3 linked regions of the Xenopus tropicalis genome follow. The protein of the gene in region 3 interacts with the protein of the main gene of each other region in a biochemical or structural test. Links are inferred from orthologs where the notes say so. Each region holds a gene or a part of one and is shown on either strand. Other genes may lie near its edges.

What was found.
Region 1: of the proteins of csnk2b (region 3) and chek1, one has a biochemical effect on the other in vitro, tested with the Homo sapiens proteins (2 studies listed by BioGRID, with this or other methods). The link is inferred for Xenopus tropicalis from reciprocal best matches to the Homo sapiens genes CSNK2B and CHEK1.
Region 2: the proteins of csnk2b (region 3) and tnfaip1 form a complex in vitro, tested with the Homo sapiens proteins (2 studies listed by BioGRID, with this or other methods). The link is inferred for Xenopus tropicalis from reciprocal best matches to the Homo sapiens genes CSNK2B and TNFAIP1.

The regions. Positions count from the first base shown.
Region 1 is NC_030683.2:74,045,600-74,049,252, reverse strand, and holds part of chek1 (serine/threonine-protein kinase Chk1), read left to right. Parts: coding exon 1-125; intron 126-3,135; coding exon 3,136-3,237; intron 3,238-3,653. UniProt on the Homo sapiens protein: Serine/threonine-protein kinase which is required for checkpoint-mediated cell cycle arrest and activation of DNA repair in response to the presence of DNA damage or unreplicated DNA.
Region 2 is NC_030678.2:47,414,916-47,418,998, reverse strand, and holds the start of tnfaip1 (BTB/POZ domain-containing adapter for CUL3-mediated RhoA degradation protein 2), read right to left. Parts: upstream 2,945-4,083; 5' UTR 2,908-2,944; exon of another isoform or gene 2,818-2,907; intron 1-2,817. UniProt on the Homo sapiens protein: Substrate-specific adapter of a BCR (BTB-CUL3-RBX1) E3 ubiquitin-protein ligase complex involved in regulation of cytoskeleton structure.
Region 3 is NC_030684.2:74,732,331-74,735,983, reverse strand, and holds the end of csnk2b (casein kinase II subunit beta), read right to left. Parts: intron 1,871-3,653; coding exon 1,681-1,870; intron 478-1,680; coding exon 387-477; 3' UTR 206-386; downstream 1-205. UniProt on the Homo sapiens protein: Regulatory subunit of casein kinase II/CK2.

The sequences.
Region 1 (3,653 bases), on a different chromosome or scaffold from region 3:
GGCAACGTTTGGTCAAAAGAATGACCAGGTTCTTTACAAAAGTGGATGCTGAAAGCTCGTACAGCAATTTGATGGACACTTGTGAAAAAATGGGATATGTTTTAAAGAAGTCTTGTGCTAACCAGGTGAGTACCCCCTCAATAAAGCTTCTAATCATATGATTTTAGGCTTACATTTTCCAAAACCCCAGTAAACAAGAAAAAGCATATAAAACAAACAAAAATACTATTTATTGTAAACACAAAAAAACTATAAAAGTAAAAAGTGTACATTAGTTTCTTCTATCCTTGTTTTTAGAAAACAATCTTATTTCCTATGGGTCAAAAATGTACATACACCTTGCAGACTGTTTTTGTCTTGACGATTGAAGGATCAAAGGTGATCTTAATCAATCTCTAAGCTATTACTGTAAAATTTAATTTTTCAATAAAAGTTGATATGTAAAAGCAATAATGATAGGCCAATTCTAGTAGTCTGAAAAGATTTAAAGGTCTTTGAAACTTGCTCTTCAAAAAAGCAGTAAACGAAACGTAAAGGTGTGCTTTTTAATGTTTGAAATTTTTACATTTCTGTTGCCATTTTAACAATGCCTTTTGGCTCTGAGGTATATTTTGGGGTAATAGTTCTTGTACAAGTAATATAGACCCTTAAGATCTTTGGCTTTTCAACACAAGCAGCAATTGTTGAAACTGAAACCTCAGGGTGTTTACATTTTTGGCTGGAGTGAGGCCAGGGAAAATAGTCAGAATAACAATTTAGGTACAGGTATGGGACCTGTTTTCCAGAATGCTCGGGATATGGGGTTTTCCAGATAAGGAATCTTTCTGTAATTTGGATTTCTATAACTTAAATCTGCTAAAAATCATTTATTGAATAAACCCAATAGGATTGTTTTGCCTTCAATAAGGATTAATTATATCTTAGTTGATATCAAGTACATGGTACAGTTTTATTATTACAGAGAAAAAGGAAATCATTTTTAAAAATTAGAATTATTTGCTTATAATGGAGTCTATGGGAGATGAACTTTCTGGATAAATGGTTTCTGGATAAGCGATCCCATAGCTGTAGTATAATTGGTGGAGCTTACTAATTTTCTTTAAATCATAAATGGCAAATTAGGAACATGGCACATTTTTTTATCAGACAGCAGTCACTGGATACTGTCCAGAAATACTATCCAAAAATCAGTACATATAAAGGGGCAGTTTACCTCCTTTTCAGCATCTATGAATAGGGCTTGTGCTGAACATAGTTTCTGCCTATTGTTGTATTCAACACAAAGGTCTATGGGTTTTTTTTTTCTTTTTGTTATTCCTATGAACACCACGGGTTTACTGAACAGTTACCAGATACCAGATGTGTATAGGTTTACCCAAGTATGTGGCATTTAGAGGCCCATAAATGGTGATGAGATGAGAGGCTTGATAAAGGGCTGGATTGAAGCCTGAAATGTTGCTTTTGGCACTGTAAAGTTTCAAATTTTTTCAAAACAACCGGAGTGCTGCTGTTTTCATCATTTTTGTACTTATTTGCCCGGGCAGTGGGTACAGCGTGCACCTGGGGCTACAAAAAGCTATTTTCACTGTGTAAGCGCATGTTAACTGATTCTATTTGCCATATTATCTGTCATGTTACTGCAAAATCAACACATTGACAGCATTTTAAGTGGGGTAAACCTAGAAAAAAGTTCTTTCCTAAACGTCTTGATTTTGATGAACTTTCTAAAAATCACCTCAAAACTTCCAGCATATTATCTCCTACAGGTCATTAGGTACCCTAGAGGTCTACAGAACAGTTTGATGCTCACTGTACATAGGTTTATCAAAGCACATGGCCCTCAGGAACCCCAAAATATACCTTATGCGCACTAATTTCATGACTTCCATTCACCTAATCCATAAACACACTGGCAGTTTTATGTGTGGTACAAACTGCAAAAAAGTAGGGTGACCTCTGAAAGCCATATATTTTAGAAACAGCGCAAATTTTGTAAGGTTAGCGGTTCTGAAAGCATTTTTAAAAATCGCCTAAAAATCTTGCAATTAGCCTCATTTATCTTGCAGTTTTTTTTTACATACAAAGGCAAATCACCCCAAATATGAACACCAGAAGTCTACTGAACAGTTTTATGCCCAATATTCATAGATATACCAAAGTATGTGAAATGTACAAACCCCAAATTAAATATAAAGCATATGACGTTTTCTCGTCTGCCAAATGAAGTTTTCTCGTCTGCCAAAATTAATTTCTGCAAAACGAGCCCCATGACTGCATATTGTATATATGAAAGACCCCCTAACTGTACAGAAGCTTACGGAAAACAATATGTTTTTGGAAAGTACACATTTTGACAGTTTCAACATTGGTGTAAAAAGGCGTCTTTACCAAAGTACCAATCTGTCTAAAAATGTTGCAATATGACGCATTTATCTTACACAGTTTCTTACATACAAAAGCAGTTTACCCCAAATATGAATGCCAGAGGTCTCCAGCTTTGTTATCACATTTGCATACGGAGTATACAAATGAGACAAAATTGCAAATTAAAGGCCCACCCAAAAAGAAACATTACATTTCACATACATACTGTGCAAGTGCAAACACATATTTTGCATATACCTGTACATACACAGAGCAATGAATAAATAATTATGTGCTAGAGAATTAAATCAATTTTCTTTAGTTTACGCTACCTGTTTAACAAACCAACAATTCCTAATTTGATTAGGAAAATAGGAATTGTTGGTTTGGTATATCTATGCATATGGTGCTTCAAAGTATGCATTATGTAGAGACCCCAAAATGAAAAAAATGTATATGAATTTTCTCGCCTGCCAACTCAGCTTTTGCAAACCTGGCTCCCTGACAGCGTATTATGTGCCATAACAGCCCCTAACTGTACAGAGGGTAACTGACAGCAGATGAGAGCATGTGCTGTAAACTGGAAGAAAAGAATATTGGTTGCTTATGCGATAATTTTTTTGTTTAAAGGACTGTTATAATATGTAGTCTAATTGTTTGTTAATACAATTACATTATGAAGTAAGTTAATACAAGCATTATTAGTATACTTGTTTTTCAAGAAAAAAACTGCATCTGTATAATTAGGTACTTTGTTTTTGTCTACTACAGGTCACCCTATCAACTACTGACAGAAGAAATAATAAATTAATATTCAAGGTGAACCTTGTGGAAATGGAAGACAGGATTCTGTTAGATTTTAGACTTTCTAAGGTATATTGAATGCTTTGGGTTTTCTGTTACTGCTACGCTGCCAGCTATCTAAAAGTGTGTTTATAGTCGACCCCTTGTCTGCCTGTGGCTCGCAAGTAACTGACTACCATCACAGTAGATTTCTCTGTTCTGCGACATGCAATTAAAATCTTACACATGCAGTTTTGACTGTGTATTAACTTTCAGTGCAGCCATTGCTGCTAGAATGCACTATGTATTGCAGTCATTGGTTTTTATATTTATGTTCATGTATTAATAACATTGGCCACCTTTAGCAGTAAAGGGGGGTGCCTAACATCTTAACACCCCCAATGATCCTTACTGTTCTTATCCTTTTATAAAAATCTACTAAAAGTTTGATTATCTTATCTATTACTTACAGGTAAATAGGTTCTTATTTAGTATTTTTTAAATTG
Region 2 (4,083 bases), on a different chromosome or scaffold from region 3:
AGCACCCACTCTCTTTACTGCCAATGCCACCCTACTAGTCTTGTTTCTATTACTATAACTATTCCCCTAGGTACTGCTATTGCCACTGCATACCCCCATTACTATGTTTGCCAATGCCCCTTACTTGCATTGCCAGCTACTGTAATTCCCTTCCTGGCCAGGCCTCCCCATACTGTTACTGTAATTCCCTTCCTGGCCAGGCCTCCCCATACTGTTACTGTAATTCCCTTCCTGGCCAGGCCTCCCCATACTGTTACAGTAATTCCCTTCCTGGCCAGGCCTCCCCATACTGTTACTGTAATTCCCTTCCTGGCCAGGCCTCCCCATACTGCTACTGTAATTCCCTTCCTGACCAGGCCTCCCCATACTGTTACTGTAATTCCCTTCCTGGCCAGGCCTCCCCATACTGTTACTGTAATTCCCTTCCTGGCCAGGCCTCCCCATACTGCTACTGTAATTCCCTTCCTGGCCAGGCCTCCCCATACTGCTACTGTAATTCCCTTCCTGGCCAGGCCTCCCCATACTGCTACTGTAATTCCCCTTCCTGGCCAGGCCTCCCCATACTGTTACTTGTAATTCCCTTCCTGGCCAGGCCTCCCCATACTGTTACTGTAATTCCCTTCCTGCCAGGCCTCCCCATACTGCTACTGTAATTCCCTTCCTGACCAGGCCTCCCCATACTGCTACTGTAATTCCCTTCCTGGCCAGGCCTCCCCATACTTGTTACTGTAATTCCCTTCCTGGCCAGGCCTCCCATACTGTTACTGTAATTCCCTTCCTGGCCAGGCCTCCCCATACTGCTACTGTAATTCCCTTCCTGGCCAGGCCTCCCCATACTGTTACTGTAATTCCCTTCCTGGCCTCCCCATACTGTTACTGTAATTCCCTTCCTGGCCAGGCCTCCCCATACTGCTACTGTAATTCCCTTCCTGGCCAGGCCTCCCCATACTGCTACTGTAATTCCCTTCCTGGCCAGGCCTCCCCATACTGTTACTGTAATTCCCTTCCTGGCCAGGCCTCCCCATACTGTTACTGTAATTCCCTTCCTGGCCTCCCCACATTCCCTTCCTGCCTCCCCTACTGCTACTGTAATTCCCTTCCTGGCCAGGCCTCCCCATACTGTTACTGTAATTCCCTTCCTGGCCAGGCCTCCCCCTACTGTAATTCCCTTCCTGGCCAGGCCTCCCCATACTGCTACTGTAATTCCCTTCCTGGCCAGGCCTCCCCATACTGTTACTGTAATTCCCTTCCTGGCCTCCCCTGTCCTGGCCAGGCCTCCCCATACTGCTACTGTAATTCCCTTCCTGGCCAGGCCTCCCCATACTGTTACTGTAATTCCCTTCCTGGCCTCCCATACTGTTACTGTAATTCCCTTCCTGGCCAGGCCTCCCCATACTGTTACTGTAATTCCCTTCCTGGCCAGGCCTCCCCATACTGTTACTGTAATTCCCTTCCTGGCCAGGCCTCCCCATACTGTTACTGTAATTCCCTTCCTGGCCAGGCCTCCCCATACTGTTACTGTAATTCCCTTCCTGGCCAGGCCTCCCCATACTGCTACTGTAATTCCCTTCCTGGCCAGGCCTCCCCATACTGTTACTGTAATTCCCTTCCTGGCCAGGCCTCCCCATACTGTTACTGTAATTCCCTTCCTGGCCAGGCCTCCCCATACTGTTACTGTAATTCCCTTCCTGGCCAGGCTCCCCATACTGTTACTGTAATTCCCTTCCTGGCCAGGCCTCCCCATACTGTTACTGTAATTCCCTTCCTGGCCAGGCCTCCCCATACTGTTACTGTAATTCCCTTCCTGCCAGGCCTCCCCATACTGCTACTGTAATTCCCTTCCTGGCCAGGCCTCCCCATACTGTTACTGTAATTCCCTTCCTGGCCAGGCCTCCCCATACTGTTACTGTAATTCCCTTCCTGGCCAGGCCTCCCCATACTGTTACTGTAATTCCCTTCCTGGCCAGGCCTCCCCATACTGTTACTGTAATTCCCTTCCTGGCCAGGCTCCCCATACTGCTACTGTAATTCCCTTCCTGGCCAGGCCTCCCCATACTGCTACTGTAATTCCCTTCCTGGCCAGGCCTCCCCATTACTGTCTTACTGTAATTCCCTTCCTGGCCAGGCCTCCCCATACTGTTACTGTAATTCCCTTCCTGGCCAGGCCTCCCCATACTGTTACTGTAATTCCCTTCCTGGCCAGGCCTCCCCATACTGTTACTGTAATTCCCTTCCTGGCCAGGCCTCCCCATACTGTTACTGTAATTCCCTTCCTGGCCAGGCCTCCCCATTACTGTTACTGTAATTCCCTTCCTGGCCAGGCCTCCCCATACTGTTACTGTAATTCCCTTCCTGGCCAGGCCTCCCCATACTGCTACTGTAATTCCCTTCCTGGCCAGGGCCTCCCCATACTGCTACTGTAATTCCCTTCCTGGACCAGGCCTCCCCATACTGTTACCTGTAATTCCCTTCCTGGCCAGGCCTCCCCATACTGTTACTGTAATTCCCTTCCTGGCCAGGCCTCCCCATACTGTTACTGTAATTCCCTTCCTGGCCAGGCCTCCCCATACTGTTACTGTAATTCCCTTCCTGGCCAGGCCTCCCCATACTGCTACTGTAATTCCCTTCCTGGCCTCCCCATACTGTTACTGTAATTCCCTTCCTGGCCAGGCCTCCCCATACTGCTACACGCTAATGTGTCGGTCGGTACATGGCCCTGCATGTGAGCCATCCCTCTGTATCATGCTATGGGCGTGTGGCTGATAATAAGCCCCTGTGTGACAGCGCCCCCAGTGGGGCAGTTCCTACAAGCCGTACCTCCGTGCCGCATCCTCTGTCCCACACACACCTGCAGCTACACGGGTTACTACTAACAACACTACATACAGGGCGCTCCGCTTCACTCACTTCCCCACATCTTCCTCCATCTTTTCCACTAGCTGAGGTCACTTCCGCAACTTGTTGCCACAGAAACCGCCCGCACAATCATCTTGGGTCAAGTTAGGCACCGCCCAGCGCCAGGGCATGCTGGGAAATGTAGTAGCAAGCTATACTGACCTACGCCGCAGCTTTACGCATTTTAGGCAATAACAAACTAAACTCCCGGAAACCCATGGCGCTGTCCCTCGGCATTAGTTCCCTGGTCATCGCTTAAACCTCGCTAAAAAGAAGGAATTAATACTAGCGGACATATTTAGTTCTGGATTTACCGGTTAGAAAGTCGTGGGCTTTAACATGACCTTTTTTTATAACTGCAGACTTTTTACTCTCTAAAAATGTGTGTACGCCAGAACAACTATATCTTATGTGAACGCAGTCAGGCACCTGTGGTAATACACCTCCAGTATTAAATATGTTCTCAATTTGCATCATATCGCTTCCAACAGAGATTTAGTCACTTTCCGTGAGGACGATTCGAAGCTCAACTACACAATCAAGTTTCTGGAATAATGTTTTGCCAGTATGCAACATGGCGCCCACATACTCAGCTTCCGCTTTGTCACTATGGAATCTAGATTGTGTCCTAGGAAGTGACGTCTGTAAACAGCAGCGAGTTGTATCCGTGGCAGCTGAAGCCGAAGGGTACCGGGAGGTAAGAGCAGCTGGTGTGGGGCAGTAAATGTGACCGTTCCGGGGACTTTGGGGCTAATGGAATAAAAGGCGATAATTCTGATACTGAGCAAGTTACTCATAGCATCCAGTCTGCAGGTGGCATGTCGTTGTTACAAGCAAACATCTGGTTGCTATGGGTGACAAGCCCTTGGCAAAAATTCCCAAATTCATTGCGCTCCACAGAATTTTCAGCGTTAACAGGGCAGCTTTTGCTGATTGGCAGCTCCACCTTGTGGGACTGGGGTAGGAGACAGTCAGTCAGCAACAGATACAGCGGCATAGTAGCCTGGAACATTCCTACACTAGTATGTGTCTAATAAATAACACAATTATCTTCATTATCAGCTTTATGAGATGTACCTAGTGATTGTATTAGGCTGAGGCTGCTTACAGGGCTAGTGTAGGGCAGGCAGGACAGAGAGGGGCAGTTCTGGGGCACTATGGGGCAAACTGGCCTTTGTGCTCAGAAAC
Region 3 (3,653 bases):
TTTCAAACGCAATCACTGCTGCCCTGCAACATGTATGTATTAGGCATGTCCCTGAAAGTGATCTGGTCAACCTAGGATAAGTTGGATCTCTATACTCTACTAATGATCATTTAACCCCATAGGATTGTAATGTATCCCATACCTGTACCTACATTATTTTTTGCAGAAGTATTTTCCTGGGGAAAAAAAAAAAAAAAAGCAACAATTCTTTATAATTTTATTTAACCACAACCGTAAATTGCAGTAATACACTTTAAACGGGACTAAAATCAAAATTGTGAGCAAATAATACACCGAAACAAACATTTTTCATTGTCAATGGAAGGAAGGAAATGAGGTTTATGGGGTGTGCAGACCCCATGTATAAACCATTTAATGGGCAATACTCAACGCATAGTCTTCACAGGACTTTTAAAGTTGCTGGCTGCTTGTAGCTGAAGCTGGTATGCCATAGGGTGGATTTTGAAGCCATATAACCTAGAGAAAGAAGGAGAGACACAATGAGAATTTAAAAAGACAGAAGAGGCGCACCAGTAAAGTATGAACAATATCCTACCAAGAGCTTAATTCTTTTATAAGAATGAAGCATAAATGAACTGTTCAAAAATATTCTCCCTGTCAACAAAGTGAGTCATGTATATTCATGCGAAAGAGAAAAATTACATAATCGTAACATTTTTTACCCTCACAGATTTACCCTCCATCATGACACTGATGGAGTACTGTGATGAGAGTAATGCTCTAGGTTACAAGTAGGGATGCACTGAACCCAGGTTTTTTGGTTTCGGCTGAACCCTCAAATCCATCCCGATGGATTTGGCCAAATATTGGACTAAATCCAAAAGGTAAAAGTCTCTGAGCGAAGAATTTTTCACTTCCGTGTTCACATGGACATTTAACCCTTCCTAATCCTAATTAGCATATTATTGGTTCAGCCAGGACTGTGGATTTAGACGAATAAAAACCCTGCTGAAAAAGGCAGAATCCCGAACCAAATCCTGGATTTGGTGCATCCCTACTTACAGGTTCCATTACTGATATGTAGGATTTATAGGACAGGGGAGGCTAGTCATGAATGGCCAGGATCTATATAACATCTTGGAGAATTTAAGTGAATCTGATTCATTCAGACTTCCACCTATACTGGAGATTTGCTGAATTAAATGGTTGGTTTTAACACTAAATGGTTAAAATTCCATTTTCAATATACTTCTATATGTGCGGTCACATATCATGGGTTGCTCCCTTCCTCAACTAAACCATAACCTAACCTAATGACACCATTTTTTGTAAGAATTATTTTTAAGGGCAAACTTAGTGCTGGCACTCTCTCTTTTTTGTATATAAATAATGTCTATCATTTTAGAAGTTGGTCAACTCCAGAATGTGGGTTAGACTAAGCATGGGTACAAGGATGCTTCTAGCAGCTGGCCAATGCCACAACGTGGATTAGACCGAGCACTGGTGATTTCTTTCCATGTTTATTCAGAAATAACAAACATTTATTATATAAAATTAAAACAAATAAAAGGTTTACATCATGGACAGTTCCCATGAATGATTCTTCTTTCTAGAACACAGCTTTCTAATGTCTCTCTTTAACAAATCCATCCGGCTAAATAAATCTCAGTTCAGTTTGAACTGTTTGTATTACAATAACAAACACAATCTGCATCTTACCTTGGAACAAACTGATTGGCTGGCCTCTTGGGCCTATACTCAGGGTGAACCATAAAGAGCATGTGAGGAAATCCAGTGCCAAAATATGCTCCATCGGTGTGATGATGGCGTGAGGATTTGGGTGTGTAAACATCCATACACTTAGGACAATACAGCTTTACCATAGCTTCCCCAGGAATATCTGAAAGACCTAGTAAAATATATAGGAATAATGTTGCATGAACCCTAAAATAGTTATACAAATTAAACTGTACCCACTAGAGGGCACAGACCCCCTTTCTTTTGTGTCTCAACACAGGAAGGCAGATTTGTCAATTTTCAAATGTTAGAAAAAAAAATTACATGTTCAATCTTAAAGCTAGGTTATTTAAGAGAAATCTCAAATGGCATAATCACAACTGAAAACAAAACCCATATTGTACTATTCATTTTCAACGACGGTGTAAAGATTAAATGATTTGATAAATGTAAACTAAAATAAAGTTGCTTGGAATCTTCAAATACGCTTCCACTTTTTATTCAAATTTGCATTTTTTTTCATTAACCAACTGTTAATTGCTTGAGTCTGAATAAACACAAATGTGAGTATGTTTGAGCTTTAAAACTGTGATAAAGCACAATCTCAGATTTTAATAAATTGGTCCCTTAACCTCCCACATAGATTTAGATTGGTGGCTGTTGCATTTTAGTTCAGGCCACCTCACTTTAGAAGGAAAAGGCACAATCACTGGGGGGCTGCCAAGTGTTAGGAAGTCCCCAGTAATTGTAATGACTTACCTAACTACCCTGGGCCGGTGCTCCTGTTAGGAGAAAACTGCACTGGCTTGGGGTACTGCACACACGCAATCCTCTTCATCCTGTTCTTCCTTTGCAATCCTGGGGCCCGCGCATGCACAGAAGAGTGAAACAGGCAGCTTTTTTTGTTAAAGTTCAGCTTTTCAATCTATTGCACATGCGCAAGTGGTGCAGAGACAGAAGGAAGGGGATCACTGGCTCAGAGGTACCCCAGGCCGGTACAGTTTTCTGCTAGCAGGAGCACCAACCTGGGGTATCGCCTGACATTTTGGCACCCCTCAGTGATTGTAACCTTGTTATTCGCTAAAGAAGGAAAGTTACAGACTGACTAAATTACTAATACACTGAACAATGTGCCAAGAACATCAATACAGCAAACAGGGCCCACGCTGCTTTAGGATAGCAAAAATAGAACAGATTTAGGAGGAAGTTATATATCAGCTTAACAGACATTGATGATCCTTAGAAGTTTACAAAAACAGCTGCCCTTTTTGTTCAACCTTTGTAAATCAAATTGCATTATAATATTTTTAAATCACAAACTAAACTATACCTTTATTAGTTTTGCAGAAAATTGTTGACTTTAAATATAAGGAGCATGTCAAGTCAGTGGTGGAGTTCCTAAAGTGATAAATTAGCCTGACTGACAATGATAACACTTATAAAATGTAGTTTGGAACATGCATGGTATAAATGCCTTCCCTTAAAACATAAATAGTTTATTCATGATAAAAGATATAGAGAACCATGTGAATACCACAGAATGTAGGCCAGTTGTACATAACACAACCTCATTTTAAAAAGCATCTGAAAAATACTGACATTTTATTCTCTGGGGCAAATATTGTATATACCCCAGTGATATTCCCAGTAAAAGATTATTATATAGTTATTGGACAAAAATGTCACAGGTAAAAAGTACACAATGAAACAGCTGCAAGCATATCCACATAGAATTTAGAGGGAAAATTAATGGCAGGTAATGCCAAAAGTTGTAGTCATCAAAAGCAGGGGTGTGTGGCTTTGAATTCCATCTTCTAAAACATTTTCATTTAGATTTTCTTAAAAGGGTGGTTTACTAAGAATTGTCACTGCTTAAAGGGGACCGGTCACCCTAAGACATAACTATTTTCTATATTGTTAGTTAAGCAAAATAAACTTTACTTACGCTATATAAA